5 linked regions of the Sus scrofa genome follow. The protein of the gene in region 2 purifies or fractionates together with the protein of the main gene of each other region. This does not show direct contact. Links are inferred from orthologs where the notes say so. Each region holds a gene or a part of one and is shown on either strand. Other genes may lie near its edges. The genes, in order: CUL7, FBXW8, CUL1, CCT2 and CCDC8.

Region 1 (5,644 bases), on a different chromosome or scaffold from region 2:
AGCCACGACGGGAATTCCTGCTCAACGATTTTCTAAAACTGAAATCATTAACAGCTGTGCGCATTGACAATGAGAACAATACTGAAAAATGTTTTCTCACATTCAGCACATCCAAAGTTTAACTGAGCATGAAGAGACAGAAGCACACCTCGGAGATTTTGCTCGTTTGGCTCCAGGCTCACAATAAAGTCACACATGTTTTCTGGTTTCTGAGTGCATATAAAAGTATGCTTACATTTTCTGGTAGTCTATTAAGTATACATAGCATTATGTCTAAAAAACAATGTACATACCTTAACTAAACAATACATTATTGCTGGAATTCCCGTTGTGGCTCAGTGGTTAATGAATCTGACTAGGAACCATGAGGTTGCGGGTTTGATCCCTGGCCTTGCTCAATGGGGTAAGGATCCGGCGTTGCCGTGAGCTGTGGTGTAGGTCGCAAACCCGGCTCGGCTCGGATCCCGAGTTGCTGTGGCTCTGGTGTAGGCTGGCAGCTACTGATTAGACCCCTAGCCTGGGAACCTCCATAGACCGCAGGAGCGGCTCTAGAAATGGCAAAAAGAAAAAAAAAAATACATTATTGCTAAAAAAAGTGCTGACCATCACCTAACAATGCAGGATTGCCACAAACCTTCAATAGGTTAAGGAGTTCCTGTTGTGGCTCAGCGGAAACAACCTGACTAGTATCCATGAGGATGCAGGTTCAATCCCTGGCCGCGCTCAGTGGGTTATAGATCCGGCATGAGCTGTGGTGTAGATCGCAGACAGGGCTCAAATCCCAAGAGGCTCAACCTCTGGCCCGGGACTTCCATATGTGACAGGTGTGACCCTAAAAAGCAAAAAAAAAAAAAAAAAAAAAAAAAAAAGTTAAAAAATACATTATCTACGAAGCAGAGTAAAAAGCAAGGGGCAATATAATGAGGTACACCTGTAAGTTCTGTGCCAGGATGGTCACATGGCGTTGTTGCAGCCGAGCCTCCTGCTCCCACTGCGCTGCCCTCTGCTTACCAAGGTGCTTCTCACATTTTAGTCTGTCATTTGCTTAACTGTGCATCTTCTCCAGAAGACAACTTTGAGGGAAGGGACTTCACCTACAGCTCTATAACCGTGCTTGACACATTTTATTTTATTTTTTATTTTGGGGCTTTTTAGAGCTAGAGGAAGTTTCCAGGCTAGAGGTCCAATCGGAGCTGCAGCTGCCGGCCTACACCACAGCCACAGCAACACAGGATCCGAACCACATCTGCGACCTACACCACAGCTCAAGGCAAAGTTGGATCCTTAACCCAACTGAGCGAAGCCAGGGATTGATTGAACCTGTGTCCTCATGGATAATAGTTAGATTTGTTTCTGCTGAGCCATGATGGGAACCCCCCTGACACTTTTTATTTTTGCTTTTTCTAGGGCTGCTCCTGCAGCATATGGAGGTTCCCAGGCTAGAGGTCTAATCAGACATGCAGTTGCTGGCCTACACTAGACACAGCAATGCCAGATCTGAGCCGAGTCTGCAAACTACACCACAGCTCACGGCAACACCAGATCCTTAGCCCACCGAGCGAGGCCAGGGATTGAACCCACAACCTCATGGTTTCCTGTCGGATTTGTTTCTGCTGTGCCATGACAGGAACTCCATCCCTGACACATTTTAAAGTGCTTATTAAATATTCGTGGGATGGGGTTCCTGTTGTGGCGCAGCGGAAATGAATCTGACTAGTATCCATAAAGACACGGGTTCCATCCCTGGCATCGCTCAGTGGGCTAAGGATCCAGGATTGCTGCAAGCTGTGGTGTAGGTCAAAGACGCGGCTTGGATACCGAGTTGCTGTGGCTATGGTGTAGGCTGGCAGCTGCAGCTCTGATTCAACCCCTGGCCTGGGAACTTCCATATGCCTCAGGCTCGGCCCTAAAAAGCAAAAAAAAAAAAAAAAAAAAAAAAAAAATTGTGGGATAATGGGAATGGTGGAGTAATTATAGTATATCCATTAGATGGCAATTTATGCAAAAGTTTTTAAATGAGGACAAATAGCAACCAGGAAAATGTTGCTTTTAGTGTAAGGGTCAAAAGAAAACAGGAAGGAGGGGTTAAGAATCTGGCATTTTGTGGTGACTTGGGTCACTGCTGTGGTGCAGGTTCCATCGCTGGCCCCAGAAGTTCCACATGGGGAAGTTGCAGTCAAAAAGAAAACAGGATAAGGCATTTTAGCTACTCACGGGTAAGCTACGTGAAATCAAGCACACAAGTAGAAGAAAGCATGCCGAGCTAAGTTAGGACGGCACAAAGTGGCCACGGTTTTTGGAGTTTTTGATAACAGGTTTCTATAGCAGGAGTGCTCCTCGTGAAGTGGGAGTGGAAGGTGGGCCATTCTGAGGCGGTGGGGAAGCGAGAGGCCCCGGCGGGGGGGAAGGGAGGGCAGGTGGCTCACGTGGGCAGCTTTGAGGAAAGGGAGCCTCAGCAGGGCCCCGGCACAGCCGTTCTGCAGCGCCAGCAAGAAGGCCGCCCGTGGCCCAAACAGCTCGGAGCTCGACTTCTGCAGATTGTGAAAGTGGTCGCAGTAGCGGGGCACAAAGTCATCATCCTGCCAGCGTGAGGTCAGAAAGCTGTTCACCTGGAGGGAAGGAAGGAAGGGGTGGCAGCGTGAAGGGGCCACAGTCTTGGTCTGCCCCCCACCGCCGCACCACCCCGGCCCACTCCTCCCACCTTCTCCTCCACAAAGGCCTGCCAGCAACGGGTCAGGTTTCTCATGATGCTGCTGGGAAGCCCCTGGGTGGCCAGAGAGCTCCAGTCATGGCTTCTGTTTCTGCCCTCTGTGGAGACAGGGGAAGGGGCAGAGGCGGCGGCAGTGGGGAGCCCCGCAGTTCCTTGGTCCCCACTCAAGGGTGAGCCTGGGGGCCTTTCCTCATGCTCCTGCCCAACGTGATGGTCCCGGGTAGGGGGTCACAGACAGGAAGATAAACAGGCTGAGGGAGGGGAGGGAGAGAAGAACAGACACCTGCAGCATGCAGGGTGGTGGGGACCAAGCACCCAAGCTCCCGCCTGAATCCCCAGCACTCACTGGGGGACGCCTCGCAGGGCTCCACGTGCACCAGCAGGTTGGTGAGGCGGCGCACCCGTGAGGAGAAAGCAGCCGCGCGACTCTGGGGGTTGTAGGCAGCATCCCGGCTCTCCAGGTACTGGTCCAGCAGCCAGCCCATGGGGCTGATGCCATCCTCATCTGGGGGTGGGGGAAAACAAGCCAAGGCAGAGCGCGTCTGCAGGCCAGCAGGGAAGCTGGGCTGGACAGGAGTGCAGAGAAAGGGCAACGGGACAGAACCATACGGTAAGGAAGGTTGCAAGGACCCCCTTGACCTTGTGGTGGCAGCTGGCACGTGGAAGACAGGGGAAAGGAGGCAGCCCCTGGGCTGTGAGAAGGGGAACACATGGATACCAAACGAACGTGGGTACCAAAAAGGCCAAGAGCATTTCCCAGGTGGCTCTAGAGTAGAGCAAGAAGGGGCCGGTGAGCAGGGCCACGCGAGAGGCTAGTGCGGGGCGGGGCAGTTACCGGGGGAGGTGACGTTCTGCACCAGGGGGCTGACCAGGGCCTCCCAGCAGCTCTTGCCCAGGGCTTGGGCCGCCTCGTTGTCAGGGAGGAAGCGATTGGCAAAATTCTGCTCGTGGCGAAGAGCCCCGTTGAGTCTGGGGAGGAGGATGGGGAGTAAGGTGTGGGGGGCTGGAGGCTTAAGTGACCTACCCCGTGTCCCCCCAACCTAAGATCGCCAGCTTCCCTAAAACCAGCCAAACTCCCCCCTCAGGATGTCACAACCCCCTCGATTCCTTGGCACCCCCATTCCCAGCCACCACAGAAACCTCTCCTTCTTGTCCTTTCTTTCCTTCCTCCAACTACAGAACATTCCGGCCCCCTCCCAAGCATGGTCACCCGTCACAGGAGCCCCCCGGCAGCCCTCTGTAATGCTCTTATCTCTCTCACACACAGGCACACACCCACTCACACACACCTGGAGCTCAGGTGCAGGAGGCTCCTGCGGTCCTCCGCTATGTCCTGGCTCCAAGTCTGGGCCCGAACCATGTAGAAGAGGCGTGTGTGGTGACACAGCAGCTCCCAGAACACAGGCCAGAATGTGGGCTTGGGGCCCAGGACTTCCAACCCCCGAATGCGTGTGTCGATGCCACCCTGCAACACACACAGGTCCATTTCCACCAGCCCCACAGTGGGGCCTTAGGAAGGGCTGGAGCGCTGGCCCAAGATCTGCAACAGTTCCTGGGGGTAGGGCCCAGCGCCCAGGGGCCACCCCCACCATGCCCTGGCCCCACCTGCTGGCAGCGCTTTATGCGGATCTGGATGATGGGCCAGAAGCGGTTCAGGTTCTCCAGGAGGACCACCCGTCTGGCGGAGGGCATTACATTGACCTGGGGGAGCAGAGAGTGCTGTTACCGCCACATGTAAGGATGGAGTGCTGAAAGCACCAGCCCTGGGGTGTGAGGCCTCCTGATGAAAGGGTCCTGACGCCACCTTCACTGCTCAGGGCCTGATGCTGTCACATGGGCCCAAGGCTGGACTTGATCTATGGGGCTCAAGAAAAGGAGGAATATAGGCATTTAGGGGTCTGGGCAGGAGGGGAGCTCCCTACCGAGTTGAGTTCTGTGTTAAGAGAGGTGGTGCTGTCGCCCCCAAAAACCACCACCCTGGCGGGCATGTAACTCGAGTCTTCGCCAGCCACCAGCAGAGCCAGCTGCCTGCGAGCAGAGGAGAGGAACCAATCAGAACCTGATCCAAGAGTTCCCGTCATGGTGCAGCAGAAAAGAATCTGACTAGGAACCATGAGGTTGTGGGTTCAAATCCCTGGCCTCACTCAGTGGGTTAAGAATCCGGCATTGCCATGAGCTGTGGTGTAGATTACAGACAAAGCTTGGATCCCCGGTTGCTATGGCTGCGAGGTAAGTCCACAGTCACAGCTCCGGTTCGACCCCTGAGAACCTCCATATGCTGTGGGTGGGCTCTAAAAAGTCAAAAAAAAAAAAAAAAAAAGAACCCAATCCAGTTCTGTCCTCGTGGACACAGCCAAGGGGACTCTTTGATCCCGTTCAGGGAGGTGAGGTGCTTCCCCAAGACAAACAGTAGGGAAGTCACAAGAAAGCACGGCAATTTGGCTACGCACAGGCAAGGAGCGTGTTACCTGACGAGGACGCCCTGGCGCATGTGCAAGGTGATGTGGTGGGAGCCGGTGCTGCCGTTGGACTCCCAGTAGGTCTTGGGGTTGCGGTCGGTCAGTTTGCCGGCCCGGTGAGGGTTGGAGGACACCTCCACCTTCTCCCAGCACTTGTCCTCCTTCACCTCCACACTGGAGCCTACGGGCCAGCGGGAAGGGGTGGCAGTCACAGCCTGGAAGGTGTGAGGGAAGGATGGAGGGGTGCAGACTTGGGGTAATGTGGGGACAGGCACGAACCCTGGCACAGATATCTGAGGAACACGTCAAAGAAGGGGATGTTGATGGGGCGGTGGGTGCGTCTGTGGTCTTCGATCTGGCCCAGCACCATCTGCAGCCGGGCGTCGGAGAGAAGGGGTGCGGGGCGGGACAGGGACAAGGAAACACGTGGAAAAAGAACCGCAGCAGCCACAGGACTGCCTCTGTACCACTGGCC
Region 2 (5,644 bases):
ACTTGATTTTGGCACTAGAAGGACAGTGAACAGAAAGCAAACAGTGAATAATAAATTGACGGCTTGATCTGGGACAAATCCTGTTCCTCTCCCTTTTCCCGGGGTGGAAATCTTGTTAGACATGAATAGCTAAAAAGCCACGGCATCACTACTTCACCCCCGTAAGCTGCTTGCCCCTTAATGATCAGTCTCTGCTGTTCGGATGTAGTGTTCCTCAAAACTGCCTGATGCTGTCATCTCATCTTGGGGTTTTATTAGAAAAATGTGAAAGTACCATACATCTGTTTGTTCTCAAAACTACATAGTGCTCGTTATTTGGTCTCTGACTAAAGAACACTGTAGATCACTAATTATATGAGCTCAGACAATTAAGATGTGAGTCCCTCCAGAAAGTGCAAATCCGGCCTTGGCAATAAGGGGGCATCCTGGCACAGCCTGGAAGCTTTTTGAAGTACGTTACAGTTCCCAGCAAATGGCACAGCCATAGTCAGGCTGAACCTCTAGGTCTGTCAGAAATCCAACACGAAGGTGAAATTAAATGGCTAGATGGAGAATGTTGATTTTAGGAAAGTAAGAAATGATTTTTAGGATAGGACAGGGGGGAATCAAACAGCCATTGCTGGAGGCATGTGTTATAATACTTTTTATGTATTATTTCTCACCCTGGATGAGGGTTGCCATAGAATGCACTTTCTTTGAATAAAGCACACCCCCCCTCCCCGGGTCTGGATTGCTGGGCCATCTTTGTCTTCCTCAGATAGGCTCCCTGCATCACAATGGCTATGTTCCCAGTTTGTTATACTGTGCTAGAACAGCCGTCCTTTGTGATGGACCCTCAGCTGGGAATGTGGGGCCGTCATTCACACTGTCAGGCCTGAGGATTAGCAGAGTCACCCAGATGTTTTACTCCCTCAAGTGCCTGGGGCCAGTTCCCAGGATTCAGGCCTTTTGAACTCATTTGGCTTCTTGTCAGGGCAACTCTGTCCTTTTACACTGTGGATTTTCATAATCATGTAGGTGGTTCACCTTCCACTTTTGTACTCTCAGAATTTACTCAGGGAGATGAAAACTGATGTAAACTGTACTCAGAGGGAGCATGCCATTTATGAATATAGGAAAGCAAATTATTCTTAAAGGAAGCTCCCCATACCCATGCAGATTAGAGAAAATGGTAGCAGTGATGCAGCCAGGAGCATTGAGGTGGCATAAAAATGCTTGCAGTGGTCTTCCTACCCTGGGATGACATTGAATCCAGGAGAAAGCAGCTAACTCACACTTCTAACCTTTTAGCAACACATTTTTGGTATTTGCACAAACATTAAAATGTGCTTTTGGCTAATTTGGAACTGAGTGAAATGTGTTGTTCAGATTCTTGTGAAGAAATAAAAACTTTTATTTTTGAATAGTTATTATAGCCCCGTGTTCCATAATTTAAAAGGCACAATAAGATTTACAGTGAGAATCTCCCTTCCACTCCATCCCACAACTCATTTCCCTCCCCGAAGGCAGCCATTGTTAGATTTATGCACATACAAGCCATGTATATCATAGGCTTTCTCTTCCCCACCTTTACACACATTAGCACACTGTGAATCTTGTTACTTTGCTTCCCTGCTACCCCCCACCCCAGATTTATCTTAGAAATGATCCCATTTGTATGAGTTTGTAAAGAATGTCTTTGTCCTTTTTCCCTATGACCTCATGGTACTCCGGTACATAGATGTATTGTAAGTTATTTAACTAGTCCCTTAGTAATGCATTTTCAGGGTTTTCCAGTTTTTAGCTATGGCCAAACAGTGCCTACAGCAGATAAAATTGTACACAGTCATTTTGCATAAATGTGAGTTTACTTGTAAATAAATTCCTAGAAGTGATTTCCTGGGTTAGCACATATGTGCCTTTGGCGTTGTGATAACTGTTCTCGAATTTCCCTCCATAGACGTTGAACCAGCTTACATCCTACCAACTGTAAGTGGGATCCATAAACATGGTTGTTCCCCCTCTACTTCTAGCCACTGTCTGATCAGACTAGTTGATCTTTACTAATATAACAGGTGATGTATTTCTCTTATTAGGAGTATATTGTGTTTCTTTTATGATGCGCATCTTTTCATTTGTATAAGTACTATGTTTTGCCTCCTGTGAACTAGCCCTTGGCCTGTCTTTTTCTTTTGGATTGCTGGTCCTCTCATTGATGTGTAGGAGGAATTGTGTATTTTGGACCAAGGATGAATTGTAGGTGAGACCTGAAGGAGTAAATGATTCTCATCCTTTAACAGGTTGACTGCCTTGAAATAGTTCCAGATACTGGAAGGTACCCTGTGGCAGTAGCCACTGCTGAAGATCTGGTATACCTGCTAAAAGCTGAAGACTCTGCCAGAACCCTCTATTCCGGCCGTGGCCATCCTGTCACATGTCTAGATGTCTCAGCCAACCAGGCTGCTTTTGGAGTGAAGTTTCTGGCATGGTTGTATGAAGGAAACAAGGTACAAAAATAGCAGGATATACAATTAACAAAAAAGAGCATAGATTTCCTGTTTTAGAAGGCAATTTAAAAATTAAAGCTCACTGATATGTATGTGTATCTGTATATATTTAAGTTGATCAGGGTATAGTTGATTATAATGTTGTTAGCTTCACATTTACAGCAAAGTGAATCAGTTCTACATATACATATATCCATTCTTTTTTTTCCCATTTAGGTTATTACAGAACAATGAGTAGACCTCCTTGTGCTGTACAGTAGGTCCTTGTTAGTTATCTATTTTATATAATAGTGTGTATGTGTTAATCCCATCATCCCAGTTTATCCTTCCCCCTGCCATGATTTCCCCCTTGGTAACCCTAAGTTTGATTTCAAAGTCTGTGAGTTTGTTTTACTTTATTTTATTATTATTAATTTTTTTTTGTCTTTTCGTCTTTTTAGGGCCGCATCTGCGGCATATGGAGGTTCCCAGGCTAAGGGTCTAATTGGAGCTGTAGCCACTGGCCTACGCCACAGCCACAGCAATGCCAGATCTGAGCCGTGTCTGTGACCTATACCACAGCTCACAGCAACACCATATCGTTGACCCACTGAGCGAGGCCAGGGATAGAACCTGCAACCTCATGGTTCCTAATCAGATTCATTTCCACTGTGCCATGATGGGAACTCCCATATTATTATTAATTTTTTATGGCCATACCTGCAGCATATGAAAGTTCTGGGGCCAGGGATAGAATCTACCCCATAGCTGTGCTGTGGCTAAGACAACACCAGAAACTTTTTTTCCTTTTTTTGGCTGTCCCGTAGCATATGGAATTCCTGGGCCAGGGATCAAATCTGAGGTACACTTCCAACTCACACTGCAGCTGCAGCAATGCCAGATCCTTTTAACCCACTGCACTGGGTTGGGTATTAAACCCATGCCTTTGTGGTGACCTGAGCCACTGCAGTTCAATTATTAACTCATTGTGCCACAGCAGGAAACTCCTGTTTCTGTTTTATAGATAAGTTCTTTTGTATCATTTTTATTAGATTCCACATATAAGTGATCTCATGTGATATTTTTCTTTCTCTGACTTAATATAATAATCTCTAGATCTATCCATATTGTTGCAAGTGGCATTATTTCATGCTTTTTTTTGAGTGGGTGGGGGGGCCTACCCATGGCATATGGAGTTCTCCGGCCAGGGATCAGATCTGAGCCACAGTTGTGACCTACATGGCAACACCAGATCTTTAACTCACCATGCCAGGCTGGGGATTGAACCTGCATCCCAGCACTCCAGAGATACTGCTGATCCCATTGTGCCACAGTGTGAACTCCTATTCCATGCTTTTTTATGGCTGAGTAATATTCCTTTGTATGTATGTACCACATGTTCTTTATCCATTGCTCTGTCAGTGGGCATTTAGGTTGTTTCCATGTCTTGGCTATTATAACTAGTGCTGCTGTGAACATTGGGGTGCATTATCTTTTTTTGTAGTTTTGTCCAGATATATGCCCAGGAATAGGATTGCTGGATTATATAGCAACTCTATTTCTCTATTTTTAGTTTTTTAAGGAACCTCCATACTGTTTTCCCCAGTGGTTGTACCAATTTACATTCCCACCAACAGTGTAGGAGATTTCCGTTCACTGATATGTTTTTAAAAGATCTGTTCAGGCAATATATATATATATATATATCAGTGAGGTTTTAAAAAAGTCAAGTAATTCAGGATGATATAAAATGATTATTCTTTTCTTTCTCTTTCCTTCCCAAAGTCCTACTCCATAGAAGAAACTATTAACAGTTTTTAGATATCCATCTAGAAAATTTTAGTGCATATGTGCACATTTATGCACTAAAAACCTATCTTTGTTTAGATGAGATCATGCTATACATACTGTTCTGTGCCCAGTGTTTTTATTCAGTTATATACCTTGGAAAGCAGTCCATGTTAGTTCCCTCTCCTTAGGATTCCAGTGATGCTTACAACCCACAGTCTGTGTAACCAGTCCCCTCACTGGTGAGCATTTAGGTTGCTTTCACCATTTGGGCTATTGTAGACAGTGCTATAACGCATGTTGCAATTTGTAAATCGCTAGAATAAATTTCTAGCAATTAATATTGCTTTGTCAGAGGTTTGATGAATATTGACAAATAGCTCTCTAAAAAGGTTGCGTCAAAATTTACATTCTCTCTACAGTGGGTAAAAGTGCCTCCGATACTCTTTGAGCTAGAAACAGGGAGACAGGTTTTTAATTCAAATTGTTTCCATAATGACTCAATTTTATCACTAGTTAGTATTTTACTATTCTGACTATAGTCTAAGTACTTAGTCTTATTGCTGATTTACAGAACTCTTTCTCTTCCCATGGAATCAGGGGAGAGAGAGAAAAGTTTTGTTTTGATTTCTCTCCAATTTGCTGGCTCTTGACCCTGCTGGTAGTGGAGATAATCCTTGAGAAGGAACCAGTGGCTCCTCTGACAACAAACTTTTCTCCTAAGGAAGGAGGCCCTTTTCCACACAGCAGCATCATGAACTGGAAAAGAGCCAGGCTGTAGGTGCTTACCATGCTCCAGTCCCAGCCCTACCACCCACTGCCCTGTGTGACCTCAAACAGGTTGCTTAACCCTCTTTATCCCTAAGTTTCCTCATTAGTAAAAGGAAGTTCATGACAGTACCTACTTCATAGAATTGTTGGATTAAATGAGAACATGTGTGTAATCTTTAAGCATAGTGCCTGGCACTGGAAAGTTTACTTCCTGTTCTTTCTGCCACTCATAGTTTGAGTCTAGCCTGTGGCTGTGGTTTTTACATCTTGTTTCCACTATGTATAGTCATCTGTAAGGTCAAATCTCACCTATCTAGGTGTTCACTGGTTTTGCGTCCTGCATTCCAGGATGATATATTGATGATATATTCTTCAATCAAGAAGATAGCTAAAGCTATAGAAAATACATGTAGTTTGGAGTTCCCATTGTGGCTCAGTGGAAATGAACCCGACTAGCATCTGTGAGGACACAGGTTTGATCCCTGGCCTTGCTCAGTGGGTTAAGGATCTGGTGTTGCTGTGAGCTGTGGCATAGGCCAGCGGCTACAGCTCCGAATCGACCCCTAGCCTGGGAGCCTCCATATTCTGCAGGTGTGACCCTAAAAAATCAAAAAAAAAAA
Region 3 (6,434 bases), on a different chromosome or scaffold from region 2:
TGCAGTGGATGGCTAGTCTTCCTCATGTCTTAGAAGCAATACCACATATGGCTCATGAAGTGACACATGACCCTTTCAAATCTGATTAATAAACAATTATTTTTGAATCCTCTGCAGTGTCCTTCAGGCACAATGCTGGAGGGGCCTGGGGAACATCAGGAAGTAGTGTCTGACCAAGGCACAGACCACTTAGCTTAAAGGCACTTGTAAGAAGTTAGCAATCAGAGATCATGAAAGCCTGCGTAGAAGGTGCAAAGGAGGCTTTCCTGGAAGTGGATGTGAGCTGGATATGAAAAAGGAGGATGATTTGCAGATGTAGGAAAAGGGGAGAGACTTTCTATTTGTTGAAGGAAAAAATGGAAGCAAGCATTCATAAATGGTGATTCAAGGCTGATATTTGTGGACCAACAGTAGAATCAACAGGATGGAATGAAGTTGAGAGTTCCTTTTGCCAACTGGCTGGAAACACATTGGAAAAGTTAGGACAGGATTATGTGCCTTAAGTGCCAGGTCAGAGTTTGGACTGAACCCTCTAAACAGTGGGGAGCCAGAGTTCCCTCCCATTGTGGCTCAGCAGTGTGTAATCCAACTAGTATCCATGAGGATACAGGTTCGATCCCTGGCCTCGATCATTGGGTTAAGGATCCAGTGTTGCCATGAGCTGTGGTATAGGTTGCACCTGTGGCTCGGATCCTGCGTTGCTGTGGCTGTGGCATAGGCCAGCAGTTGTAACTCTAATTCGACCTCTAGCCTAGGAACTTCCATATGCCGCGGGTACAGTTATAAAAAAGACAAAAATAAATAAGTAAATAAGTAAACAGTGGGGAGCCACTGAAAAGTTTGAAAGGATAGCATCATTTGGAAAGAATCATCAGTGGTTAGTCACTGTGCAGGCTGGAAGGATAGAGCAGAGATCAGAACCAGGCAAACTATTTAAAGGTAAAAACAGGAGTTCCCGTTGTGGCGCAGTGGTTAACGAGTCTGACTAGGAACCATGAGGTTGTGGGTTCGATCCCTGGCCTTGCTTAATGGGTTAAGGATCTGGTGTTGACGTAAGCTGTGGTGTAGATCACAGATTGGGCTCCGACCCCGAGTTGCTGTGGCTCTGGTATAGGCCAGTAGCAACAGCTCCGATTGGAATCTCCATATGCCGCAGGTGTGGCCCTAGAAAAGACAAAAAAGACAAAAATTTAAAATTAAAAAAAATAAAGGTAAAAACAATACAGGTGTGGGAAACATAATAAAGGAGTGGATCTGCACATACTTGGGAGTTACTGGCTTAGGTTACGCCCCTCATCAAGCTTAATGATTTGGAGCAAATTGCCTGATATGTCTGAGAAGTGGTATAGATGCTACCTGGTTGTGAGGTGGACATAAAAGTCAATGAATGACATAGTCTAAGAGCTGTCAGTAACAGTGCAGATGAGTGGCGAGTAAAAGCTAGAAGGAAGAAGCAGGAATTAAGGCAGTGAGAATTGGAGAGGATGGTTATAGGTGAACTAAATCCTTCCATTCAGGGAAAAGTGAGGTAGTAATTCAGTAGGGTTCTCTTGTGGCACAGCAGGTTAAGGATCTGGTGTGGTCACTACTGTGGCTCTAGTTCTATCCCTGGCCCAGGAACTTCTATATGCCATGGGTGCGGCTGGAAAAAAAAAGGGGGGGGAGAGGTTGAAAGAAACAAACAGTAAAGGGAAAGCTGACCCACTCCGTTCTTGTATTAGCTATGGGAAGGCACAGACAAGAAGACCATGTTGAATGGTGAGAAGGGAGAGGACAGTTTAGGGAAGATGGAGATGAGATACCTTGTTGTTTGAGGAAAATACAGGTTCCATTATGGGGAACAAGTAAGAGAAGCCATATATATACAGTGGAAAGCACTGTCCACAGGGACAAGCCTTCCATTTCTACCTTCAATTTTACCATGTGCCCACAAAAAAATTGCAAAATACACCTGTTTCTTCTTCTTTTTTGGTCTTTTCCAGGGCCACTTCCCATGGCATACTGAGGTTCCCAGCCTAGGGGTCTAATCCGAGCTGTAGACACTGGCCTACGCCAGAGCCACAGCAATGCGGGATCTGAGCCACATTTGTGACCTACACCACAGCTCATGGCAACGCCAGATCCTTAACCCACTGAGCAAGGCCAGGGATCAAACCCGCAACCTCATGGTTCCTAGTCGGATTCATTAATCACTGCGCTAAAATGGGAACTCCTCCTACACCTGTTTCTTTTAAATATCTAGAAGTGTAGGATGTAAACCAACAATTTAAAAATCATTGCATAGATTGAGATCATATACTTTAGTGACAAGTACAGACCAATGCCTTACTTCTAAAGGTACTTAACAAATGTTGACAAGTGACCACATTTCAATAGAAGGAAACAAATACTATGGGATATTCTAAGAGAAACCTGTATTCCTCAGGAGACAGCGTAGATTATGGGGGCAGCCCTCTACTCTGGGCCTAGGATTTCCACCCCACGGTGATACTAAAATCTTCTCCTGTTTTCATTTGGAGCAAAACAGGAAGTTATGTTCATCAAGTTTTTTGCCCAGGTAATTTGAAATTCTTCCTTGCTTGTTCATGGAAGTCGTGGGCCCTCTGGTATGTAAACCACATCATTCCAGCAGAAGCCCCTCCAAGCCCGCCTTTTGTCACCTAGGTCATCATAGGAAGCCAGGTGGCTATTTGTGCTGCAAAAATGTGCAGTTCAAGGACCCAATTGTGAGTTAATTTCACTTGACTGCGGTGAACTACTCCAGGACTCACGTGAAAACAATGTTATTCTGCAGTCACGCCTCATCGCATCCACATATATGGAAAAGCTTAAATTCCATTCTTGATTTGTCTTTACAGAGATTAATGGTAAAGCGAATCTTTATCAGCCCTTTGCCTAAAAAGGAGTTGGTTAAAGAGTTTGTGGAGGAAAGCTGGATTGGTTTGATTTCAGAAACGATTTTAGAGAGGCGCCGGGGAGCCGGGGCTCTGGTGCCGAGGCCCGCAGGTGTCTTGGGGCTGAGAATGGACCACACGTTTTTCTTTTCAAGGGCCCCTCGCCCATCCTCGACTTCATCAGCCGGTCGGGATCTGGCTTTTGGTTATTCCCCCGGCTGGGGAGGCAGATCCACCGGGTGTCGTTGTGTTCCGTGTCGGTTCAGGGTTCAGGGTGAGTGTGCGCGCAGGAGGGGGTGTGTGAGACCCTCTCCTCCAGGGAGTTTTGGGGCGGCTTCTTCCTAGGCTGGCGCCCCCAACCTCAGAAGGTGACCCCTCCTCGTTCGGCCCGAAGTGGCGGGAAGCCGGGTCCTTAGAGGCGGCCCGAAGGCGAGGGAGGCTGTAAAACCTGGAGGCGGATCCGGTGCGCTCGGCCGGGGATGGCGTGGGGTTTCAGAGCCAAGGACCGCGGGCTTCAGGTAGGGACCAGCCAGGCGAGCGGGGCCTCAGCGGCGTCGGGGGCCCTGGGGCCAGGGCCACGGCGGGCGGGAGGTTTCCGGGCCCCTCCCGTGCCGCGGGCTGGTGGGGAGATGGCGGCGACGGTTTCCCGGCTCCCCCGCCCCGGACGCGATGGCGGTGCGTTCCGGCCCTCCCCCACCAGCTTCACGCCCGCGGGAGCCGGAGCCGGTGAGGCCGGGAGGGCGGGGAGCGGCGGAGGAAAGGCGAGAGGGCGGAGGTTGCGTGGTGCAGGCGGCGGCGGCGGCGGCGGCGGCGGCGGGAGGAGGAGGAGGAGGAGGAGGAGGAGGGCCGGCGGGCGAGCAGGGGAGGAGGAGGAGGCGGGAGCCGTGTCGCACGCAGCTCCAGGCGGGGCAGCCCCGGCGGCTGAGGGACGCGGCCAGACCTTGGCGGGACGGGGATTTAACCGGGGCCCGGCCCAGCGACCAGGTGGAAACGTAGCCGGAGCCACTTAGGCACCCGGGAAATACGGGTGAGTGTCGGGGGTCCGGCGCCGAGGGGGTAGGTGGCGGCGGCGGGCGCAGGCCGGGCCCCGAGCCGCGGTGTCGCAGTGACTGGGGCCGCGGCAGCCGAGCGCAGGAGGCGGGCGAGGCCTGAGAGGCCGAGCCGCGGCCGGGAGGTATGGCGGCGGAGCCGGGGGACTCGTGGGCAGAGGGCGCCGGGGGCGGGAGGTGAGCGAGCGCGGCCCGGCCCTGAGTCACCCGGGTCGGCTCGGGCCTGGCCGGGCCGCGGCACCGGACGTGGGCTCAGGGCGACCAGGCCCGGACTACGCACTGGGAAAAAAGCCCGATTCATCGCGCCCGAGGCGGCGGCCTGGTGGCGCCCGACCCATTCCCATCGCTATTGGGCTCGGGCTGCGGAGCCCGGCGGCGAGCGGCCCCGGGCGGTCGGGCGCGCGCGTCTCGGCTCTCGGGCGGCGACCCCCGCGGGGCACCGGGGACCCGTGCGGTCTCTTCCTCGCCCCTCGGGATCACTTCTCTCCCGAGCGTCGCTTCCCCCCCAGCGCGTGCTCTCAAGTAAGTACTGGGCTCGCGCGCAGGAGCGGCGGCGGAGCCGGGCTCTCTGCTTTCCGGTTCCCTGCCCGCGACTCTTGGGTTCCCTGCCCGCATTGTTGCGACTGTGCAGGGCGCTATTATTGGGTAACAGTCGCCCTTTTGCCCCGTTCTCTTGGGAGAGCGGGCCAGGAAGGTGGCAGGGATGCGAGTGCAGCGGCCGAACGGGACCGAGCCCCCCGGCGCCAGCCAAGCGCCCGCGAGTGGGGCCGGGCCTGCGCCGCCGCGTCGGCGCGCCCCCGGCCCTGCGCCCGGCGGGAGCGCGCGCTGACCCCGCAGGTAACCCTTGCGGAGGGTGGCCCTGTGCGCCCCGCTTGCTCCCCCTGCCCCGCGCAGGAGGTGGCCTGCAGCGGGCCAAGTGATGGTTTCAGGAGAAACGCTTTGTGAACATTCCTGGAGACTAATCCGCAAAGTTCAGGGTTTTCTCCCTTCAGCGAGCTCTGCCCCAAATTGGATCCTCTTTTCCGAGTGGATCCTTGTTGCTTTTAATTGGTAGTTGGGGTTAGTGGTGAGGGTGCAAATGGGGAATTGCAGTTAACTTATACTCAAGCATTTATTTGCTCTGTGTAATTGTGGTGACATTAAAACAGAGTTAGGAATGGAGTCAGGGGTCACGCAGTTTTGAAATGAACTTTTGAGTGACAGAAGGGAACTCAATTTGCTTTTACTTTTAAGCTCCCAGCTGCTAAGACCTAAAACATCTTGACATTCCCCAGAACGTGTGCACTTGTAAGTTTAACACCTCATTTTTGTGGTCGCCCTGTCTACCTGATATTCTGATATCCTGGAGCGTTTGTGGATTGTGTAGCAGAACAGGGAATGTTGTTTAAAAAGCAAAATCAGTCACTTTTCACATTTTTCAAATTATTCAAGACACTTTTTTGATCCAAAAGGGTTCTTGGATGTTAGGAAACATTTTACTTGAAAGTTCTATTTGTTGCTTTCCATGATAAGTTGTAATAGTTGTATTTCAAATTCCGAAGCATGCAAACACAAGACTGGCTCACTTTAACTCTATTATGCCCATTTTTGGAGGTTTTTGGAGAGTGCTCATTAAGCTAGAGAGGGGTGGCTGAAGTACTGTCTAAAAATATTACCTTTTTTTGTGTGTGTTTTGGTTTTTTTTTTTTTTTTTTTGGTCATTGGACTCAATCTTTTAAAAAACTTATTTTACCAAAAAGAAGGAAGAAAAAAACTTTTAGATGGACTACTAGGATATTTGACCAGTTTGTAATCTCTCTCAGAGCCACAGGCTCAGGTCCTTGGAGGCATGTCCATCTCCCTTTCCTAAGGTCGCCCATCACAGAGGAGAATTACCAGTCAGTGAATGCCCCAGCTGATTCTGCAGTTTCTTTAGGTATTACAGCACCTCCTGTGCCTTTGCCTCTCACTGAATATTACCTTCTAGAGATAATTAGTCTGGTTGTCAATACAACCTTATTTCTCATTCTTCTTAGACTGAATTTCTTTTTCTTTTTTCTTATTTTTCTCTTTTCCTTTTTAGGGCCTCATGAGAGGCATATGGAAGTTCCCAGGCTAGAGATTGAATCAGAGCTGCAGCTACCAGCCTACACAACAGCCACAGCAACATGGGATCTGATCCGCATCTGCAACCTACACCAAAGCTCATCGCAATGTTGGATGGATCCCTTAACCCACTGAGCAAGGGCAGGGATTGAACCCGCATCCTTATGGACACTAGTTGGATTCGTTTGCACTGCGCCACAACAGGAACTCCCTCTGACTGAATTTCTTGAAAGGAGATACTGCTTATTTATTTTTGCATCCCCAAAGTATCATAGAACTTCACCCTGGGTACCTTAGTTTTTTTTGAATGACTAAATCTGGAATAATTCCACCTTATTCCCAGTGTTTGACCACTTGGGATTTGGCTACAGAAACAGTCACTGCACTTAAACCGGGTGAGAATGAA
Region 4 (6,192 bases), on a different chromosome or scaffold from region 2:
GAGGCTAAGAAAACCCTCTAGATGAGGATACTATTTATTTTGCTTATTGTGATTATATATGCAAAAAAACTGGAAATCCAAACTTTAACTTTAGTAGTGACTACCTCTGGGTAGTCACTCTGGGGGTAGTATGGGTTTTTTGGTTGTTAAGGCAGGCCTTTAAGAAACAGGATCATGTTGGTGTATGCTTTTCACTGTTCCCTAGACTTCCTGCCTTGAGAAAATTTTGAAAAGAACAGTAAATGTTTGAAACAATAGTTATTTTGGTATACCAACCCATGGTCAACTGCAGAATTCAACAGAGCCTGTCTTGCTGCCTTGGTGGCTTCTCTCCAACCAGCAATAATGGTCTGTGGATGAATCTTTTTTGCAATTAAAGATTCTGCTTCCTGTTAATAAACAGTGGAAAAGGTGCATCAACAGTAAATTTGTGGGAAAAGACTTCCGATACTCAAAACCATAGTAATTAAAAACCCCAGTAAGACTGAAGTTGCTCATTTAGTCTTACCCTTAGTAATTCAGCTGCAAGAACAGTAACAGAGGTAGTGCCATCGCCAACTTCATCATCTTGAACCCTTGACATGTCTAGGAAAAAAAAAATGCTACTTATTAACCCACTTATATTTGATTCTGCTTTTTAAATTTTATCTCAGTAGCTTACCTAATTCTCTAAACAACCCATTACCAATCTAAATCTCACCTAAATTTCCTCACCTGAAAAATTCTTTGGAACTTTTCAGTCTGAAATTCAATAATTTTACTATCAGTAAGTACATGGCACTCCAGAGACTTGTATTTTAATAATGATAATAATCAATTAAAGGTCAAACATGACTTAATAAAAAAGACAGTCAAAATAGCCTATTTAAAATTGTTTCAGAAGCTCCCCATCTTGGCTCAGTGGAAACGAATCTGACTAGGAACCATGAGGTTGCGGGTTCAATCCCTGGCCTTGCTCAGTGGGTTAAGGATCTGGCCTTGCCATGAGCTGTGGGGGAGGTCACAGACACAGCTTGGATCTGGCATTTCTATGGCTCTGGCACAGGCCGGTGGCTACAGTACCAATTTGACCCCTAGCCTGGGAACCACCATATGCCATGGGTGCAGCCCTGAAAAGCATAAAATAACTAAATAAAAATGAAAATAAAATTGCTTCAAAATGTTAATTAACAAAACATCAGACTCACCAACTAAAACTTTAGCAGCTGGATTGTCCACACCAATGTTTTTCAGAATAGTTGCACCATCATTGGTTACCATAAGAGAAGCATCTCGTCCACTGCTTAATAGAATTTTATCCTAAAAGGAACATATTTGGTTTAAGTTAATATAGAAGCACATCTGGAATTCCCTGATGGCACAATGGATTAAGGATCCAGCATCATCACTGATGTGGCAACAGTTCGATTCCCAGCCTGGGAACTTCTGCTTGCCTTGGTTACGACCCCCTCCAAAAAAGATACGAACACATATGGAAGAACGAATAGGTCAATCCATACTCTCACACATTGCTAATGGGTAAATACTCTGGATGGTTATTTGGCAGCATCCATTCAAATTTTTTCATTGCATACATCCCCAAAATCAAAACCTGGCGTCTATCCCTAATACTAGAAGAACAGAGCCTGGAGTTTCCACTGTGCCTCGGCAGTAACAAACCTGACTAGTATCCATGAGGACTTGGGTTCAATATCTGTCCTCATTCAGCGGGTTAAGGATCCGGCAGTGCCGTGAGCTGTGGTATAGGTCGCAGATGAGGCTCGGATCCCATGTTGCTGTGGCTGTGGGGTAGGCTGGCAGTTACAGCTCTGATTTGACCCCTAGCCTGGGAACCTACATATGCTGTGGGTTCAGCCCTTAAAAACAAAAGAAGAGAGAGCTATGAACAAGGCTGTTTCTACAATGTAATAGCGAAGGCAACAGATGCAAACTATTTCTCACAACAAAGTAATAAATACAAACCATAAAATAAGCAACATGCAGAATACTATTTGGCAAAGAGGACGGGTACATTTACACCGAAAGGAATTTAAAAAAACCAAGTTACAGAAAAAGTACATACAAATATTATCTGTGAAGAGATAAAACAACGTTCTGTTACAATGACAATACATAAAAAACACCTAACACATAAGATACCCTTACCTCTACATAAGAACAAAGGCATTGATTATGTTTATGTCCAAAAGGACTGGGGAGGGGAGTGGCATTTGAGATGAAAGAGGACTTTAGTCACTGATTTTTAATAAGGAAAATACACACAAGTCTTTAAGTATAATCAACAATTAAATATTTAAAAGCGTCTTCAAAAAGCATGCTATTACATTTCTACAAAAAGTTCTAAAACAGTATTAAAAATCCCTATTTTTCTTACCATGCCCTTGGGTCCCAACGTGCTCTTTACCAAGTCTCCAATAGCGATGGCACCAATAAAAGAGGACTGGAGTAAAGATTAAAGAGATGATGAAAATCAACTTAAGAGTCTTAAATTGTGAAAAAACAAACAAAAAAACAAAAAACGAACATCCCCCTCCACTATTGTATCTTTTAAAGAATAAGAACGAGGCTTACCAGACGAGCTGTCTCTGCTCTCTCTTCATCAGCCCCAGCCTTGAAGATATTAACAGGTGCCAGGGAAAGGGACGCCTAAAAGGGACAAACAAGAATCAGTCTAAGTACCAGTACTCCTTAACACATATACTTGGATACCTTCCACTAGACTTACCAGTTGCTATCTAAGAGAAAATCAGTTTGCAGAATAGCGTCCTTTTTTAAACAAATGAAGCTCTTCATCACCGGGGCGGTATTTAAAGCGGAGGGAGGGACTAAAGTGACACTGCTGTTTAGAACCACAAATGCTCCAAAAATAAAAATTCTACGTCAGAGAGATTATCGGTGTACAGCAAGTTCAAAGATGATTTTAAAAATGAGGTGGCCGGGGTTGTAGCCCACTCGCGCGACGACCGCCAGGCGGACGAGGGAACACAGCGGCCCCGCTTCCAGCTTCGCCCTCCGGCCGCTCCAGGCTCCGCCCCGAGGGGGAGGGCGGGGTCCGCCTCGCCGACCCGCCCGGTGCACTAGAAATTTCTCTGCTTGGGGTGAAACGCGGCCCTTGAGGTTTGAGACTGCGGAGAGGCCGACTCCGAATAAGACGCTGGCCTTAAGGCCCACTCCTCCCTCGGGCCCGCACCGGGGGCCTCACACGCCGGCCCGGCGCAGGCCACACGCCGCGGCCTGCGCCATGTGCTGCGGCCCCGGGGGACAGACTCAGGGAGCCCGCGTCGTTGGGAACACAGAGATGGGCAGAGGGCGGCGCGGCACTGGGGGCCTTGGGCAGGGACTGCGGGACCAGACTCACCATGGTTCCGAGGAGTTCGGTACACACGCGCACCCCTCACAGCTCGCGATCCGGTCCAGAGGGAAAAGAGGCCGGAAGTGACGCCACACGCTCTCCCGCAGGGGGCGGAGCCCGGGCCGGCGCGCGGCTCCTTATGGGCGCCGCCCTGGGGGGAAGGGAAGGGGCAGCATTTCGAAGGGAGCCCCGCGGGTCGGAAACGCTGCCAGTCAAGCTCGAGGGGCGGGGCCTTGGCTGCCCTCTGCCCCTTGCGGAGCCACCTGCTCAGGACTAGGAAAGGAGGGTGTGACGTTTTGCTTGGGAACTAGCGGTTTGGAAGCAGAACGCCCCAAGATGGAAGAGACGCCTCGCCGCCCTTGGGGGTTGCCATAGCAACGGAGATTTCTCTTGCAAGTTTTAATTTTTTTTTTCTTTTTAGGGCTGCGCTGAGGCAAATGGAAGTTCCCAGGCTAGGGGTCTAATCGGAGCTATAGCTGCCGGCCTACACCGCAGCCACAGCAACGTGGGATCTGAGTGGAGTCTGCGGCCTACACCACAACTCACGGCAAAACTGGATCCTTAACCTACTGAGTGAGGCAGGAGATCGAACCTGCGTCCTCATGGATACTAGTCGGATTCTTTACCGCTGAGCCACCATGGGAACGCGGAGGGTTTTTTTCTTAAATTTAACCTTAAAAAATTTTTGCCTTGAGGTGCTACATATACACAATTTAAAGTGTTATAATATTTTACTGCTAGTTTAATTTTGAGCATTATTTTTTTTTAATTATTTTTTTTTTTTCCTGCTATTTCTTGGGCCGCTCCCACGGCATATGGAGATTCCCAGGCTAGGGGTCCAATCGGAGCCGCAGCCACCGGCCTACACCAGAGCCACAGCAACGAGGGATCCGAGCCGCGTCTGCAACCTACACCACAGCTCACGGCAACGCCGGATCGTTAACCCACCGAGCAAGGGCAGGGACCGAACCCGCAACCTCATGGTTCCTAGTCAGATTTGTTAACCACTGCGCCACGACGGGAACTCCAATTTTGAGCATTATTAATACAGAGGAACACAGATTTCTGTTTTGTTTGCTTCTGTTTTTTGTCTTTTTAGGGCCTCACTGGAGATATATGGAAGTTTCCAGGTCAGGGATTGAATCACAACTGTAGCCACCGGCCTACACAGCAGCCACAGCAATGCCAGATCCTTAACCCACTGAGTGAGGCCAGGGATGGAACCCGCATCCTCATGGATACTAGTCAGGTTCATTACCACTGACCCCCAACAGGAACTCCAAGAATTGCATTTCTTTTATTGAATTTTAGAACACTTTTTAATTGGACTGACCAGGACAAGGTCTTGTGAGCTCTGACAGAGACATTTACTTTGTCTTTGCCCTGCTTGCTCATTTTTAGGAGGGCTCACCACCACCAGCACCATCACTCACAGTTGTAGGGATGACCAACATCCTCTTAAGCTGTGGTAGAGAGCAAGATCAATCGTAAATATTTCTGTTTATTAAGAAGTTTTCTATTTTCCTTACGTTGACCCTCTAGGATGTTCAAAGTAGAATATTTGTGCTTAAAAAAAAAATCTATTTAGGAGTTCCCTCCGTGGCTCAGTAGTTAACAGACCCGACTAGGATCCGTGAGGATGTGGGTTCGATCCCAGGCCTCACTCAGTGGGTTAACGATCTGTCATTGCTGTGAGCTTTGGTGTAGGCCAGCAGCTGTAGCTCCGATTTGACCCCTCGCTTGGGAACTTCCATATGCCAAGGGTGCCACCCTAAAAAGCCAAAAAAAAAAAAAAAAAAAAAACTATTCACCTAGGGAGCACTTGGATTTTGGCAATTATTAACATTAATAGATTTTTCAATTATTGTTTCTACCCTTCAGATAAAATTCTAAAAAGGTTAATTTACTCCAGGGGTTGAAAAACCATGGGGAGCCAAATCCAACTCACCACCTGATTTTGTATGGCCAGAGAGTTAAAAATGATTTTCAGGAGTTCCCGTCGTGGCTCAGTGGTTAACGAATCTGACTAGGAACCATGGGGTTGCGGGTTCGATCCCTGGCCTTGCTCAGTGGGTTGATGATCTGGCGTTGTCGTGACCTGTGGTGTAGGTTGCGGACGCGGCTCGGATCCCGCGTTGCTGTGGCTCTGGCCTTAGGCCGGTGGCTACAGCTCTGATTCAACTCCTAGCCTGGGAACCTCCATATGCTGTGGGAGCAGCTCAAGAAACGGCAAAAAGACCAAAAAAAAAAAAAAAAAGATTTTCACATTTTGATCAAAAACAAAAACTTTTGTGATACATTAAAAATTACATGAAATTTATTTATTTATAATGATTTTTATTTTTTCCATTATAGCTCATTTACAGTGTTCTGTCAATTTTCTACTGTACAGCAAGGTGACTCAGTTTATTTATTTTTGCTTTTTTTTTCTTTTTGCCTTTTCTAGGGCCGCATTCACGGCATATGGAGGTTCCCAGGCTAGGGATCTAATCGGAGCTGTAGCTGCCCGCCTACAGCTAGAGCCACAGCAACACGGGATCTGAGTGGCGTCTCCTTAACCCACTGAGCAAGGCCAGGGATCAAACCTGAAACCTCATGGTTCCTAGTCGGATTCGCTAACCCCTGTGCCACAACGGGAACTCCAATTTATTTTTGCTTTTTAGGGCCACACCTGCAGCATATGGTGGTTTCCCGGCTAGGGGTCTAATCAGAGCTACAGCTGCCAGCCTACGCCACAGCCACAGCAACGCAGGATCCAAGCCGAATCTGTGACCTACACCACAGCTCACACCAACACCAGATCCTTAACACACTGAGGGAGGCCAGGGATCAAATCTGAG
Region 5 (6,359 bases), on a different chromosome or scaffold from region 2:
AGCCTACGCCACAGCCACAGCAATGCCAGATCTAAGCCGCGTCTGCACCACATCTCACTGCAACACCAGATCCCCAACCCAATGTTCGAGGCCAGGGATCAAACCTGCAACCTCATGGTTCCTAATTGGATCGTTTCTGCTGCTGCATGATGCGAGCTCCCTAGTCTGTATTTTTTTTTTTTTAAATCAATGCATGAAAGATACAATTTTAGCAAGAAAAAAGAGGGGTGTTAGGCGGAGATTAGAGGGGCACTGCCAGGCCCTTGATTTATCTCCATTTTCAAGTGTGGGGACAGATTATAGCATCTCTGCCCAAGTGCAGGGGAGTCAGGGACACACCCTGGCTGGCCAATACTGTGACAGGTGGCAGGGTCCTCTGTGACCCCCCCTGCCCTTGCCTCACAGCTGATCTTCTTGCTCTTCATGTTCTGCTTCTGCTCTGGCCTCAGGCCTCAGGACCCTGAGGCTCCTGGCCTCGCCTGCCCTGGGGACTCTCTTGGGCAGGGTGGGCAACCTGGGGGTGTGCCAGAAGGCTCTCCGGCGCTTTCGAAACCACGAAAAGCGGCCGGGGGTCTGGAACCTCACTGTCTTGACCGGTTTCCGGGTCCTGGCTCCTGGGGTTGCCCCTGTGGCTCTCCAAGCAGCTGAGGATTCAGCTTCCTGGACAGCCAGGGCCTCTGCCCTCTGACTACATGCAGCTTCTGCCCTCTGGTCAGGAATGGCCTCTGCCCTCTGGACAGCTGGCGCCTCTGCCCCCTGGACAGCTAGGGCCTCTGCCCTCTGATTATCTGCAGCCTCTACTCTCTGGACAGTTGGGTCCTCTGCCCCCTGAGCAGCAGGGGCCTCAGCCCTCTGATTATCCACAGCTTCTGCCCCCTGGAGAGCTATGGCCTCTGCCCCCGGGACCACTACTACCTCTGCCCTCTGATCATCTGCAGCCTCTGTTCTCTGAGCTCTAGTTGGGGCTTCCTCCCTCCTGCGACGACGGAAGGAGGCCCAATTGATTTTGGGTCTCCACCGACTTGGGGGATTCTCAGGCACCCGCCCATCTCCTGCATTTCCCCTGTCCTCCCCGAGGCTTGAGCTGCCTGGCACCGATGCGCCATCCCTCTCCACCCTGGTAGAGGCCTGCCGGGCCTCACCCACCCCTGGGCTGGACCTCGGTGCCCAGCCCTTCACCCTCCGCTTCAGCTTCCCCCAGGACACCTGGCTGACATATTCCCGCCATCTATCAGCCTTGGACAGCTGGGGTCCCGGATTGTCCTCAAACATGGGCACTGGCAGGGTCACACGGCGGCGGGCCGGCGGGGCACTGGGCTTCTTCTCTCCTCGCCGCAGGAAGGCCTCAACCAGTTCCTCGTCATCCTCGCTCTCCAGGTCGCTCCCAAGGAATTTGCTGCCCAGGTAACTGACAGGCATTTTGCGCAGCCTCCTTCCACGCCCCGTGCCTTTGTGGTCCTTGTCATCCTTGTCTCTGGAGGTTTCAAAGTCGCTGAACTCGCTGTCACTGGCATTGCTGCTGTCATAAGTACCCACGACCAGCCGAGGAGGTGGCGTCACCATCTGCGGGACTCTCCTCCTCGATCCGGGCTCCTTGGGCTTTTTAGGGGGCTGGGGCGGGTGGGGGGTGCTCTTCTCGATGATGCGGGCCACATCCTCCAGGGTGCGGCCTTCTTCCTCCAGAAACTGGATCAGCCGCTCCCGAAATTCCGCCTCCTTGGTGGCGGGCTTGGAGATAACCCTCCAGACGCCTCCCGCCAGCCTGACCTCGCGGGGGATGAGCAAATAGTCTACGTCCTCGCCGATCTGCAGCATCCCCACCGTGGAGTCCTCCTCGCGGCGGAACACCTTGCCGATCTTCTTGAATGTCCCCACCGGCTTCAAGGCTTCCACGAGGACGTCCAAATCCACATCTTTGCAGATGTCGGGGACGCTCCAGAGGATCAGGCAATCAGGGGAAGGGAGGAAGCCCCAGGGGAACCAGCCCCCCACGTGGCTTTTCTCGAGGGTCTTTAAGATCTCCAGGGTGAAATCTAAAGTGCGGGCAAGGAGCCCAAACTACTCGCAGCGCCGAGTCTTGGGGTGGGGATGCGGTCCCAAGAGCGCGGCCGGGAATCTCACCTCCCAGTTTCTCTGCCCGCAACAAGTCGGGTCGTGATCCAGTTCGCTCCCCTCAAGGACTGGTGGGAATCGATTCAGGGTGCTTACGTGAGTCGGAGTCTCAAGGTTCCAAGCCCGCCGCAAGCTGTAAATGGGTGTCCCGGCTCCAACTCAGTGTAAGGACTGCTGGTGGCTCTTCCTGTGCCAGGCACAGGGGACGTCCCTGGAACTTGGGAAAGGACTTTGCAGACAAAGACGGCTCAGCTGTGGCTGTTCAATATGGCCGAGGCTCTTGGAGGCCGCAGCCAGCTCCCCAGGAGGGTCTCCCGCCCCTAGGCAGGCTGCCACCTCGGTCCAGGCTGACCTTGACGCGCCTCCGCCCCCAGCCTGCGCGCCCAGGGCCGGCGAGTGCGCGCGCGGGCAGGAAGTTCCTCCTCGCCTTCCCCCTGGATGAGGCCCACCTTCTCCCTGCTCGGCTTACACTCCCGGACTCGGGGAAGACTGACAGGGGGGCTGTCCACTCCCCTTGGGGCGCCCTCGCCGCCCTCCCCCCCAGGGGTGTGGCTGCGCCCCGGGCCTCTCAGGGGCCCCGGCTTCCAAGCCAAAGGCCTGCGGTGCCGACGCCCACGTCAGCAGCTTTCTCTGAGAAAGGCAGCAGTTCCCGAAACTACCGTCCCAAAAGTGCGGGTTCCAGCCCAGCCCTGAAGGTGGGCGCGCTCATCATCGGGCAATCCCTTGGAAAGCCACTGACAGTATAGTACCATCTTAAAATTAAGTGACTTTGGGTACCGGCAGTTCCTAGCCATATACCCAGACATGTGGGTGAAGAACCTGGTATCAAGGTCTTATTGCAGCTCATCATGGGGCTTGGCACAGAGTAGGTGCTCAAGAAATATTTTTGAGTGAATGAATGCACCTAATTGTTCACCGGTAGGGACTAACGGTGAAATACTAGGCCGTTATGAAAAAGAGAAGTGACTGAGAATAAACACATTTTAGGGAGCACTTCCTACGTACGAAGGACCATGCTAAGTGCTTTTTATAAATTAACTCATAAAATTCACACAAAAACATCAGGATACAGATAATACGATGCTCATTCCCATTGTACAGCTGAGGAAATAAAATCAATCTCTTGCTCAAGGTCACATGGCCAGGAAGAAGACTGAACCTGGATTTGATTCTGAAACAGTCTAATGTGTGTGTAGACCAAAGGGCCTAGGTGTATACATACATTTGTCATGTGTAGAAGCACTGCCAACAGTGGCTATATCTGGGGACCCCGGAGGTGGCTTTTCACTTTTCACATGACTTTTCACTCTATCATTTTGGAGTGCTTCAATTTTTAACAATCAAAAATGTTAACTGAAATAAGTTAAATTAAATTGAAGGACCTCAGATACCTCAAAAATGTTAATTGAAATAAGTTAAATTAAAGGGTCAGGATTCGCAAAGCTTCTTGGGTAACTGTGAGGCAACCACATGCACAGCAACAACTGCCTTAGTAATAATAACGGTTAACCTGCATGGATGCTTTCTTTGAAACCAGGCATCCTGAGTGGGCCTGTTATGAATCTGCAGAGCTACACCGAAAGGTGAATGCCTTCACTATCATCTCCTTACAGCTGGGGACACTGAGGCTGGTCCCCGATTGCACAGTTCGAAGTGGAGAGCCAGATATTTGAACCAGATCCCAGACGTTAGAACTAACTCCAGGCTCTGAAGATACAGCTGATCTGCGTCCTCCTGAGAGTGCTAGGCTGTTTGACCCCTTAAAAGCCATCGCATGTCCAGCTGCCCTCAATGCTTGCCTGGATCCATACAAATCCCTCCTCGTGGGGCTCCCTGCTTCCTTCTCACTGCCTATAATCAATCCACCCCCAACCTAGCAACTTAAGCCAGATCTGTCTCTCCTCTAATTTTTTTTTTTTTTTTTTTTTTTTTTTTGTCTTTTTGCTATTTCTTGTGCCGCTCCTGCGGCATATGGAAGTTCCCCGGCTAGGGGTCGAATCGGAGCTGTAGCTGCCAGCCTACGCCAGAGCCACAGCAACTCGGGATCCGAGCCGCGTCTGCAACCTACACCACAGCTCACGGCAACGCCGGAACCCCGACCCACTGAGCAAGGGCAGGGATCGAACCCGCAACCTCATGGTTCCTAGCCGGATTCGTTAACCACTGCGCCACGACGGGAACTCCTCTCCTCTAATTTTAAAGTCCTCGCCATCACCCACAAAGTCCCACTTCCCGCTCTCTTTCTCTCTTCCTCACTCCACTCCAGCCACACCTGCCTCCTCATTGGTCATCCAATAAATCGGGCTTACCTCCACCTTCAGGTCCTTTGCATCACTGGTCCCAACACCCAGAAAGTTCTGCCCCTACCTTCTCTTGGCAATCTCCCTCTGCTCAAATGTCATCTTTTTTTGTTGTTGGCCGTGCAGAAGGTCTCAGGCTAGGGATCTAGCCCATGCCACAGCAGTGACAATACTGGATCCTTAAGCACTAGGCGCTAGGGTGTTGCAAAAGGTTATCACTTCAGAGGTCATACTGCACCCTCCCCAAATTACTGAGCAGTCTCTACCCTCTTGAGGACCCTTTAGCTTAGGAATTCTTAACCTTTTCCATGTCAAGGACCCTTTTCAGGATAGTTTTGCAATGCATGGTATTGTATTATTGGATTACAAAGGAGACCAATTTTAATGTATGCAAATGTTAAAAAAAAATTCCCCAAACACCAAAAAACCCGGGTAAACTAGTGACTCTAATATAAGGTATAAAAATAAACACATATGGAGTTCCCGTCGTGGCGCAGTGGTTAACGAATCCGACTAGGAACCATGAGGTTGCGGGTTCGGTCCCTGCCCTTGCTCAGTGGGTTAATGATCCGGCGTTGCCGTGAGCTGTGGTGTAGGTTGCAGACGCGGCTCGGATCCCGAGTTGCTGTGGCTCTGGCGTAGGCTGGTGGCTACAGCTCCAATTCGACCCCTAGCCTGGGAACCTCCATATGCCGCGGGAGCGGCCCAAGAAATAGCAACAACAACAACAACAACAAATAAAATAAAATAAACACATATAATTTCGTTTAACTCACAGCATGTGATTTCACTTAACTCGTGAAGGAACTGGGCAGATGTTCGGGGTAAGCGGGAAGAGAGAGAGGGAAAGAAGAAAGAAAGATACTTGGCAGGCAGAGGACGGCTAAGGTCTCAGGGAAATTTTTGTACAATTATTGGCTCATTTGGATTGTTTTTGCTTTTACAGAGCCAGGTCTTTAGGCTTTGCTGTATTTTCTCCTCAAAAAGTCCATCCCAACTGCCCCCGGGCTCAGTCCCCGCCCCCCAACCGCGCCCCGCCCTTTTTTGCACAGCTTCTAGCCCCGCCTCCCAGCGGTCTCCATGGCGACGAGGAGACGCGCTCCCTCGCTAGAGGCTGCTCTGAGAGGGTGGGCGGGGCAGGGCAGCGCCTCTTCTCCGCTTCTTTTCCCATCTCTAGGCCTGATTTCCTCGTCAGTTTCTCTGAAAAGCTGTTTTGTAGGGGCCCGAAACTAAAAATTTCTAAATGTTGACTTAAGAATCCAGCCCTGAGAAGTCAAGGCTTCCACGTGGGAATGACCTCGCAGATGAGACACTGGGTTTTGTAACTGGTAAAAGTTGCGTATGTGGCGGAGGCGGGGTGGGGTGGGGTGGTGGAGATTATCCTAGAAATAAAAGCCCAAATGTTCAACATTTTTGCAAAAATTGCCAACCCCTGGGCAGTTCCGCTGTGAGGGATTTAGATTCCCAGTTCTTTGGCAGGCGAGATTCTCCAGCCGCCCCAGAAAAAACGATAATTACAGCTCCCACTTTTATACTTGTTTAAAAGAAATGAAAAACCCAGCAAGAATGGAGAAAGAAAACAAAACATGGCTCAAATCTCTCTACCCAGCTACCCTTGGTTGCCACTCTAGAAAATAATAATAAAGGTGACAAGTACATGTTACGAAAATGCTGGAATTGCCGAACCGTGTAAAATAAAAAATGTCTAGCTACCAGCCCTAAGCCTCCAGCCCCTTCCCCCAGAGTAATCTCAATTAAATACCTCTGTGCTTTCCAGGAAAAAAATTCTTGCAGGGATAACTTTAGAATTTACCTCATGAGGGTTTTTAACATCATCCTGAATTATTTTCACCACATCGCTTCCTGGTATTTTCTTATTTATTGTCTCACCCTATTGGAATTCCAGCCCTATGAGAGCAGAGATTTATATTTGTCTGGTTCGTTCAC

Evidence for each region.
Region 1: the proteins of FBXW8 (region 2) and CUL7 purify together in Homo sapiens (affinity purification with western blotting; 12 studies listed by BioGRID and IntAct, with this or other methods). This does not show direct contact. The link is inferred for Sus scrofa from reciprocal best matches to the Homo sapiens genes FBXW8 and CUL7.
Region 3: the proteins of FBXW8 (region 2) and CUL1 purify together in Homo sapiens (affinity purification with western blotting; 9 studies listed by BioGRID and IntAct, with this or other methods). This does not show direct contact. The link is inferred for Sus scrofa from reciprocal best matches to the Homo sapiens genes FBXW8 and CUL1.
Region 4: the proteins of FBXW8 (region 2) and CCT2 purify together in Homo sapiens (co-immunoprecipitation; 3 studies listed by BioGRID and IntAct, with this or other methods). This does not show direct contact. The link is inferred for Sus scrofa from reciprocal best matches to the Homo sapiens genes FBXW8 and CCT2.
Region 5: the proteins of FBXW8 (region 2) and CCDC8 purify together in Homo sapiens (affinity purification with mass spectrometry; 3 studies listed by BioGRID and IntAct, with this or other methods). This does not show direct contact. The link is inferred for Sus scrofa from reciprocal best matches to the Homo sapiens genes FBXW8 and CCDC8.

What each region holds. Positions count from the first base shown.
Region 1 is NC_010449.5:38,101,370-38,107,013, forward strand, and holds part of CUL7 (cullin-7), read right to left. Parts: intron 5,540-5,644; coding exon 5,449-5,539; intron 5,351-5,448; coding exon 5,179-5,350; intron 4,739-5,178; coding exon 4,633-4,738; intron 4,412-4,632; coding exon 4,316-4,411; intron 4,176-4,315; coding exon 4,000-4,175; intron 3,680-3,999; coding exon 3,546-3,679; intron 3,216-3,545; coding exon 3,057-3,215; intron 2,809-3,056; coding exon 2,702-2,808; intron 2,610-2,701; coding exon 2,427-2,609; intron 209-2,426; exon of another isoform or gene 107-208; intron 1-106. UniProt on the Homo sapiens protein: Core component of the 3M and Cul7-RING(FBXW8) complexes, which mediate the ubiquitination and subsequent proteasomal degradation of target proteins. Core component of the 3M complex, a complex required to regulate microtubule dynamics and genome integrity.
Region 2 is NC_010456.5:35,480,971-35,486,614, reverse strand, and holds part of FBXW8 (F-box/WD repeat-containing protein 8), read left to right. Parts: intron 1-2,279; coding exon 2,280-2,486; intron 2,487-5,644. UniProt on the Homo sapiens protein: Substrate-recognition component of the Cul7-RING(FBXW8) ubiquitin ligase complex, which mediates the ubiquitination and subsequent proteasomal degradation of target proteins.
Region 3 is NC_010451.4:109,554,971-109,561,404, reverse strand, and holds the start of CUL1 (cullin-1), read left to right. Parts: upstream 1-2,290; 5' UTR 2,291-3,168; exon of another isoform or gene 3,169-3,412; intron 3,413-3,450; exon of another isoform or gene 3,451-3,620; intron 3,621-3,732; exon of another isoform or gene 3,733-3,921; intron 3,922-6,434. UniProt on the Homo sapiens protein: Core component of multiple cullin-RING-based SCF (SKP1-CUL1-F-box protein) E3 ubiquitin-protein ligase complexes, which mediate the ubiquitination of proteins involved in cell cycle progression, signal transduction and transcription.
Region 4 is NC_010447.5:33,855,808-33,861,999, reverse strand, and holds the start of CCT2 (T-complex protein 1 subunit beta), read right to left. Parts: upstream 3,487-6,192; 5' UTR 3,362-3,486; coding exon 3,359-3,361; intron 2,647-3,358; coding exon 2,572-2,646; intron 2,441-2,571; coding exon 2,375-2,440; intron 1,300-2,374; coding exon 1,188-1,299; intron 586-1,187; coding exon 509-585; intron 390-508; coding exon 277-389; intron 1-276. UniProt on the Homo sapiens protein: Component of the chaperonin-containing T-complex (TRiC), a molecular chaperone complex that assists the folding of actin, tubulin and other proteins upon ATP hydrolysis.
Region 5 is NC_010448.4:52,471,573-52,477,931, reverse strand, and holds the start of CCDC8 (coiled-coil domain-containing protein 8), read right to left. Parts: upstream 3,425-6,359; 5' UTR 1,816-3,424; coding exon 400-1,815; 3' UTR 1-399. UniProt on the Homo sapiens protein: Core component of the 3M complex, a complex required to regulate microtubule dynamics and genome integrity. It is unclear how the 3M complex regulates microtubules, it could act by controlling the level of a microtubule stabilizer.